2 linked regions of the Nothobranchius furzeri genome follow. The protein of the gene in region 1 interacts with the protein of each later gene in a pairwise test. Links are inferred from orthologs where the notes say so. Each region holds a gene or a part of one and is shown on either strand. Other genes may lie near its edges.

Region 1 (4,279 bases):
GGTCTTTAACCGTTTTCACTTTTACACCGAGCAGTAGCAAGAGTCGTCTGTCACTCAGCAGGAAAACACTGGAGTCTAGTTTGCGAGTGAGAAGCATGAAGTGCAGGTTTAACTGTAGGTTTTAAATGACTTAAACGCTGATTAAAGTCTAATGTTGTTAACATGAAGGCCTTTAACTAAGTCCTGTGTTAAAACCCATTTTGCTGTTCTGATTTTGGAGTACATGACCCATACCCGCATTGTCTGGAGGACTGGACTCGATGCTCATTGGCTGCGGAGAAGATGATGACGTGGAAGTGCTGGACGCTGCGGTGGAAGCAGCAGCTGCTGAGGCCAGGTCTAACTTCTCCTGCTGGGCTTTGCGGGCCTGCATGGCGTCCCACTCCTCTACCTCCTTGTCAAACAACTCGTTGTCCTCAATCACATACCGCTTCAGGTCTGGGGGCAGTTTGTCCATGCCACTGAGAATCTGGCCTGTTTCTTTATCGAACTCCTCTGTAACAAAGTGGGAGGAGCAACATTAAAGGGTCTGCAGGAAAACATCCAAAATCCTGTAATGCGTTCTTTTAAAAGGTAGAATCAGCAATGTGCTGGATGGTTAGGAAACTTTACAGTTAGATCATGAGGGAAGAATAAGGACTGGCTTTGCAGAGGAGGGGCCTCATTCATCAAGCTTGCTTGCACACAAAACGGGGTCGGAAAACTGCGTAAGCAACTTTCCACGCAAACTTTGGGATTTATGAAAGAAAACGTAGCGAAAAAATGTGCACAACTTTAAGTTGACTAAGGAGCTGGCTTACACACATGTTGGACATGGAGAGCGCCTGCAGTGCTGCTGCTGAGAAGATACAATTATGAAATCCTGCAGCATTATCACTTGTACTGCTTCGTTTTCACACAGAACAAGACCCCCCCTACCCCACACACACACACGCAGCCTGAAGGGCAGAATACGGAATGCAGAATATCAGCAGGGGGGCAGATTGAGACAGAATGTCATGCGTGTGTGACAGTGTGTGTCCTGTCACTGTGACCCGATTGATCATGCGCCCTGGCTACATGTACAGGGTAGCTCTCCGTTTGGGTGACTGGTTAGCGTGTGCATGACTTTCACCTGGGAGTCTGGGGATCGAATCCCGTTTGGACCATTTTTTTATATCCGCCACAGATCTCTCTGAAGAACTCAGCATTGACGGCTTCAGCAACGCTGCGCCACTCCGTGGATGTTCTCTTATTTGTTTTGCAAAAGCACTTCCTTTCATTTCTCCACCTCACCCACAAGTACCTCAACTTCTGCTTCTGTGAAATAGCGCTTCGTTGATCTGCGGTCGTAATCAAAATGCTGCAAAAAGCCGGCTTATGTGTATGCATGAGATCCACAAGGCACTTTGCACTGGCCATTTATGGCAGTAAGTGGGCGTGGTGAGGGCGGGATGTGACTAAAATGCAGCTGAGAACCTTTCTAGATAGCCTCTGGTTTATGAAGTGGAGATTGCGTACTCCACGTTTGATGGATCACAAACCTACTTGGCGTAAGTACATTTTTTTTGCTGAGCTTAATTACGGTTTTAGTAAGGATTCTACGCAATGTTTGATACATGTGTAACGTGAGGAAATATGAGTTTTCTGTCACAATGGTGGTGTTGGACTCAGCTGGGTCATAGCTGGGTCGCTGAGAACTTTCACCCACAGATTAAGACCTGAACGCCAGCGAGTCTGGGAGGAAACCATAACATCTGCCACCTGCAGTCTACCAGAAGATGTGTTTACATGAGTTGTACCCAGACCAAGTCAAAACATAAAGTTTAAACTTCTTTTTCTTGATTTTAATGTTAAAATAACCATTATCATTTTGCTCATTATAAATGTGTTTAATCAAATGAATGACTAGTATGCTTTGGGGTAATTATAATGGTTTAATGAATCCATTCTTAAATAATGTTAAGAATGTGTGGTACTGACCTTCACACTCAAGCACACACACCCACACACATCTTGCCCACAGTAAACTCCAGACACATTTGATGACGCACATGTTTTGATTTGAGAAGAGAAAGGTTTTTGGTAAGTTTTCAGTCTTTGGATTCAGTTCGTGTTGGACAACGAGAGAGAACAGACCTGAAAACCAAAGGGGGGGCAGAGCCTGTTGGCTCGTTCTTCCCCCCTTTCACGCTGTTTCTGCCAAGCCAGGCAGAATAGCTGAATCGCGACTTCTAACGAAGACTCATTACCGAGTCTTTTGATTTCTGAGTGAATTAACTTAAGAAAGCGCATCGATAAAACGCTCTACCATCCACGTGTACCGAGGGCAACTCTGGACCGGTTCCGTTCGACACCTATGTCTCCTGTCAGCCGCCGGTGTCATCTGGATGAACCACAACATCCTCCACGGCCCGGATCCGAAAGAGGGTCCACAAGAGTTCGGTGAGACAGAGCACGGTTTTAGCGTTTGATGCAGTTCTCTGATAAGACCTAAGTTTATCCAAACCATCACTTCACTCAGACACCTGTTTCTTCTTGAAGCAAAATCAGACTCACACACGCATTCATGTCACAACATTCTCAATCTTCATAAATTCACCAGAAGGTCTATTTGAGCAAGAACAGCATATAAACTGTTAAAAGATTGTCCCACAAAGTTGCCAATGTGATTGTTATTTCCTGTTTGTCAATTTTCAAAATCTCGTCTCTCGTCTCGTCTTCCTCCGCTTATCCGGGTCCGGGTCGCGGGGGCAGCATCCCAACTAGGGAGCTCCAGGCCGTCCTCTCCCCGGCCTTGTCCACCAGCTCCTCCGGCAGGACCCCAAGGCGTTCCCGGACCAGATTGGAGATGTAACTTCTCCAACGTGTCCTGGGTCGACCCGGGGGCCTTCTGCCGGCAGGACATGCCCGAAACACCTCCCCAGGGAGGCGTCCAGGAGGCATCCTGACCAGATGCCCAAACCACCTCAACTGGCTCCTTTCGATCCGGAGGAGCAGCGGTTCTACTCCGAGTCCCTCCCGAATGTCCGAGCTCCTCACCCTATCTCTAAGGCTGAGCCCGGCCACCCTACGGAGGAAACTCATTTCGGCCGCTTGTACCCGCGATCTCGTTCTTTCGGTCATTACCCAAAGCTCATGACCATAGGTGAGGATTGGGACGTAGATCGACCGGTAAATCGAGAGCCTGGCTTTCTGGCTCAGCTCCCTCTTCCCCACGACAGATCGGCTCAGCGTCCGCATCACTGCAGATGCCGAACCAATCCGCCTGTCGATCTCCCGATCCCTCCTACCCTCACTCGTGAACAAGACCCCGAGATACTTAAACTCCTCCACTTGAGGTAGGACCTCTCCCCCGACCTGGAGGTGGCAAGCCACCCTTTTCCGGTCGAGAACCATGGTCTCAGATTTGGAGGTGCTGATCCTCATCCCAGCCGCTTCACATTCGGCCGCGAACCTACCCAGCAAGAGCTGAAGGTCAGAGCTGGATGAAGCTAGGAGGACCACATCATCCGCAAAAAGCAGAGACGAGATTCTCCTGCCACCAAACTCGACACCCTCCACACCACGGCTGCGTCTAGAAATTCTGTCCATAAAAGTGATGAACAGAACCGGTGACAAAGGGCAGCCCTGGCGGAGTCCAACCCTCACTGGGAACAGGTCCGACTTACTACCGGCTATGCGGACCAAACTCACGCTCCTCTGGTAAAGGGACTGAATGGCCCTTAACAGAAAGCCACCCACCCCATACTCCTGGAGCGTCCCCCACAGGGTGCCCCTGGGGACACGGTCATAAGCCTTCTCCAAATCCACAAAGCACATGTGGATTGGTTGGGCAAACTCCCATGCCCCCTCCATCACCCTTGCAAGGGTATAGAGCTGGTCCACAGTTCCACGGCCAGGACGAAAACCACATTGCTCCTCCTCTATCTGAGATTCAACTATCGATCGGACCCTCCTCTCCAGTACCTTGGAGTAGACCTTTCCAGGGAGGCTGAGGAGTGTGATCCCCCTATAGTTGGAACACACCCTCAGGTCACCCTTCTTAAAGATGGGGACCACCACCCCGGTCTGCCACTCCCTAGGAACTGCCCCCGATGACCACGCAATGTTGTAGAGACGTGTCAACCATGACAGCCCTACAACATCCATAGCCTTGAGATACCCAGGACGAACCTCATCCGCCCCCGGGGCTCCGCCGCTGTGTAGTTGTTTGACTACCTCAGCAACTTCTGCCCCCGAGATCGGACAGTCCATCCCCAGGCCTCCCAGCTCTGGTTCCTCCTCGGAATGCGCATTG
Region 2 (4,983 bases), on another chromosome or scaffold:
GTGTGTGTGTGTGTGTGTGTGTGTGTATATACATATATATATGTGTGTGTCAGTGATTACTTTTGCAATGACCGTCAATAACAAAAAAAATGAAAGAGTTTAAAGATATAAAAATGGGAAATTTTGATCAAAACACGTCAGGAAAGGGGAAAAGAAAATGAAAAAAGCCAATCAGTGGATCCCTGGAAAATCAGAATTGGCAGAAAGAGCAGAACAAAGCTAACTTAGGTGTTAGCTAGCCATCTAAATTAAATGTCATCTGCCTCAAACTGCAAATCTATGGGTGTTTCTCAATGTCAAGGCGCCTTGCCTTGTGAGGCGATGTCTTGCGAGGCCAGGCGCCTTGCTTGCGAGGACACTGTCCTTTCTCGGTCAAAGGAAGGGGCAGCAGTAGCTCAACAGGTTGAGCGGATTGTCCAGTGATCGGGCAAGACACTTAACCCACCTTGCCTGCTCGTGGTGGTCGGAGGGTCCGGTGGCGCCTGTGCTCGGCAGCCTCGCCTCTGTCAGTGAGCCCCAGGGCAGCTGTGGCTACATCGTAGCTCATCCCCATCAGTGTGTGAATGTGTGTGTGAATGGATGAATGATACACTATAGTGTAAAGCGCTTTGGAGTCCTTACTCTGAGAGGCGCTATACAAGTGCAGGTCATTTATCATTTATCATTTAAAGAAAACGGTTAAATGGAACAGACTTGCATCACGTGACTGCGGCTTTTACGGCAGTCACGTAACGTCACATGACACGGGAGATATATGTATTTGTTTCAGTATAAATATATAACAAGCCTTTTACTTTTTAAATTGTGTATATGTTTATTAAATAAAAAATAAAAGTGAGTTACTACCCGCTAGCCAACGAAGCTGCAACTACTAAGCAACTAACCAACAATAGATAACTTCTTTGGATCTAAAAAATTGTCCCCGAAGTAGCTGCCGGCTTCTGATCCGCTGTCTTTTTGAAAATACTGCGGTGTATTGTGGGTAATTTTTGACCAAGGCTAGGCTACAAGACACCTCCCGTGTATCCTTGCTCTGCTAGTTAAGCGGCTAACAAACGGAGAACACACGCCTCGGTAGAACATGAACATTGGAACCGATTGGAACACGCCTTGGCGGCTCCTGATGATGTATATCCTAGGCAACCGGGGCGGGACCAAGACATCAAGGCAAGGTTTCTTGACATTGAGAAACACCCCATATCTGCATCTAACCTAAAATAACCCACCTGATTGGCCAAATGAGTGAAGGACTCTATTTGCATTGTGTGTAGCAAACGTTTGAGCTGACCATTCATAGTGTATTTGCCTGTTCTTTGCGATTTGTGTATTGAGCAAGCCGATATCTCGATGACAATACGTTTGTGATGTACTGTGCAGCCCTAATATAAAGTAAAATAAAGTAAGGCTCTCTAGCATGCACATATGACACACCAAACCTTTCAGCTACTTTCCTCTCAGTGTCAATATGATAGATCCAGGTAGAGGTTTAGCAATATTATTGTTTGTTTGGCACAAGTGGCTGCACTTCAATTGAAAAGATAATGTTTAAAGTTTAAGTATGCATGATAGGAGATGTGGAATGATGTTACCCAAGACTGTTTTCTTCCACGTTACAACACATTCACAAAAGTCATTCATGTTCATGGTTTGTTTTTTAACAAGAGGGCGACCCTGCATGCATTGGTGTTGGTTTAGATTGGTATCTGTTATTAAGTTGGACTATTTAATTTGGTATGTTGGATATCAGTAAAAAAGTCAATATCTAACATCTCTAATATTTAGTATTAGGAACATTTATTGTGAACATGGTCAGATACTTACAGGAACTTTCCATTTGTGCGGGAGCCGCACTGGAGCCGTGGCTCAGATTCCTCCCGGGTTATTGCTCCGTGGAACCAGGGCATTCGTTCATGAGCAGTGGTGGCTATGAGTTTCTCAAGCTGAGGTCTCTGGCTGATGATGGCCTGCTCAAGAGCTGCTCCCTGCAAGAACAAATATACTAATCATTCTCTAATATAAATACTAATATGATATTCAATATGCGTTTTGTAGTTGAGTTAAAATAGTTGTATATAGCCTGTTTTTGACATAGGGCCAAGGTGCTTCACAACACAATCAGTCATTCACACCCTAGTGGTGATGAGCTACAACGTAGCCACAGCTGCCCCGGGTGTGCATTGACTGAGGGGAGGCTGCTGGGCCATAGTGACGTAGTAACACCCAACTGAGTCCACACATACACACACCTTAGCTCACTGATACAGCCTGAATGTTCCAAATTGTGTTGCTAAGGTTTAAAGCATCAATGTCTAAAATCTCAGGTTTCAGCAGAAAGATGAATTCCTGCTGGACTCAATACCTGGATGAACCAGAAGTACACTTACCTGCTGCTGTGGATAATTAGGCTCTTGAATAACTACATAATTTAATGTAGAGTAAGACTCGTGGTGAGTTTATTGAATAACATCACATCAACCAAGGTGAAATTTAAGAGATTTAAGAGCTCTGAGCTGTTTTAGGACCAAAGCAACACGTTAGTCTTGTTCTCTCTAAGACCAGATACAACATCAGACTAGTTTATAGTCGATCAGTCCTGAAGGATGTAAATGCTAGAGAAACTAACCTGCAGGTTCCAGGTCTGCTTTACATACTGCCGGATGAGTTTGTCTTTCAAGTCCTCGAACGGCCCCACCTTTGGCTGCATGTTCTTGGGCCTGTTGCAGGGCTTCTTCAGCAGACACACAAGACCATCCATCTCCTGGGAATGGTAGTCAATCACATCCATGGGGGTTCTGTGGCTCTTACCACCGGCAATCGCAAACGTCTCATTGGGTTGTCGTTCAATGGTGTAGTGATAGATGCGGCCTGAGAATGAAACAGAGAGCGCAAAGCCGCCTAGATAGTTTCGGCTTTGTCGTAACAGATACAAGCCACTGGTCAAGCCTGACTGCCGCAGGTAGACCTCCGCCTCTTCCCTTGTGATGTTGCCGTAGAAGAACGGCAACGCATTCATGGTGTCCGCCATGTTGTTTTTTAGGTGCTGATGGCCTCCAAGCAGCCTTGTCACAAATTTCAGCCTCCAGCATAAAATTAATCTGAAAAGAAAATAAGAAAAATAAAATACTTGTGAATGACTTTTAATTTTCATAAATAATCCAGAGCCTCAAAACTGGAAAATCACAGAAGACGGTGGACAATTAACTGTCCAATGTTGTTTCCACTTCTTATGCCTAAAAAGGAGACATGAAGAAGGAAATAGTTACTAACTGGTCTTCTACAAACTGAGCTGAGATTCATGCAAAGAACTACAAACATGTCTGAAAACAGATTGGCACTAAGTAGCCTAACCATATCTGTGATCCTAGAGAAGGGATCGTTTAAAAAGCCACTACTTTAAGACATTTCACCTCATCCATTAGTTCTAATCCAGGGTTAGAAGTGTTGGATGAAAACACACGTTAACTAGGGTTGTTTTTTGATATCAGGTGAGTTTCTGATTCACCCTTCCTTTGGGTCTTCATCTTGTCATCACTAAATTAGATTATTTTCATGTTCAGCCTGCATGAAAATCTCAGAGTTATTGAAATAATCATTAAAAAAGGAAACCACACCTTTAAAATGCACAAATTAATTTCAGATTTAAGAATCAGAAAAAATACTAATTTAAAGGGTGTGAGCAGTTACAGTGTAGAAGGTGCAGGATACCAGAGATATAGATCCATCCACCAGAGACAAGGGAGATGAGTGAGAACCAATAGAGGACATCAACTGGAATTTGACCTTTTCAAAAATCTATTATCTTGTTGCAGCGGAGGTTCCAGACTAACATTACAGGCTCTGATTCTGTTGGTGATCGGTCAGAGGAAGAAGAAAAGATTTTTTTATAGCGTCTCTCAAGATAAAATCACAAGGCGCAGGAGGCGCCCTGGTTTAATTCATTGCTGTACATTTCAAAACAGACTTAAAGAAAGTTACAGAGAAAATAGCGTTCCATAAAGAATTTTATTTAAGCTAGAGAGACAGCTTGTTATTAACGAGAACTTTCTCTGCTGAGCTGGAGCTGAGTATAATTCATTAATACGTAATAGAGAAGAACAAGAACAACTCGGGTTTTTTTCTTTTCTTTTCTATAGCCAGACTGGTGGAGGGTCCTGCCTCTGTTGAGCCACGTATCCCTACAGCCATCAGGAGGGATGATGTCATAAAATCCTTCATAATTAAAATAACCTCAAGTAGACACTAAATTCCCATCATCCTCCACTGTTATTACTCATCATTAACAAGTTAGACAGATTTAGAAGCAACAGAAGAACCTGGTTTATGTTTCTGTCCTATTGATCTTTATCAGATGACAAAGCTTCATCTAAACCATCAACATGTCTGCAAACCCATCAAAACCAAACTGTTTAAGGAGGTTTATCTCTATTAACACCTCCATCATGAGCCTGATTAACATCCATAAGAATTAACAACCATTAAAGGTCCAAAGTGGAAAGAGTTGAGTACAAATACCTAATAATATTATTATTATTATTATTATTATTATTATTATTATAGTAATGGATTTGATTTACATGGCGTTGTTCTAGGCAGTCAAAGTGCTCACCATTATTCATGCACTTTCACACTCACACACTGCCGGTGATGTACAGGACAAATGGCAGTTATTGACCGCAAACTGACATTCGAGGCAAACTGTGAGACTGTCTTTAAAAGGGTAAATCTCATTCTGTCATAAGCAAGGGCAGCAGTGGTCTAGTAAGACAAGAAGAGCAGCAGCTGAGCCCTGTCACATTGTTTTGAAGACAAGTACAGAGGCTGGATCCATGTGACAGCTCTCATCCACAACACCATGAGTTCCAGCTCCTCTCATCTGGACACAGACACACACTCCCATGATACAGAACCATCGACATATAAATATTGGACAATGGGTTACCATACACTCCAATAATAAGTTTTTGTGCTAAAATGGGAGTGGCC

What was found.
Region 2: the proteins of usp25 (region 1) and syk interact in binary tests that used the Homo sapiens proteins (3 or more experiments, as listed by UniProt). The link is inferred for Nothobranchius furzeri from reciprocal best matches to the Homo sapiens genes USP25 and SYK.

What each region holds. Positions count from the first base shown.
Region 1 is NC_091750.1:42,746,565-42,750,843, forward strand, and holds part of usp25 (ubiquitin carboxyl-terminal hydrolase 25), read right to left. Parts: intron 496-4,279; coding exon 235-495; intron 1-234. UniProt on the Homo sapiens protein: Deubiquitinating enzyme that hydrolyzes ubiquitin moieties conjugated to substrates and thus, functions in various biological processes including inflammation and immune response.
Region 2 is NC_091746.1:36,410,163-36,415,145, forward strand, and holds the start of syk (tyrosine-protein kinase SYK), read right to left. Parts: upstream 3,283-4,983; 5' UTR 3,149-3,282; coding exon 2,624-3,148; intron 1,983-2,623; coding exon 1,822-1,982; intron 1-1,821. UniProt on the Homo sapiens protein: Non-receptor tyrosine kinase which mediates signal transduction downstream of a variety of transmembrane receptors including classical immunoreceptors like the B-cell receptor (BCR).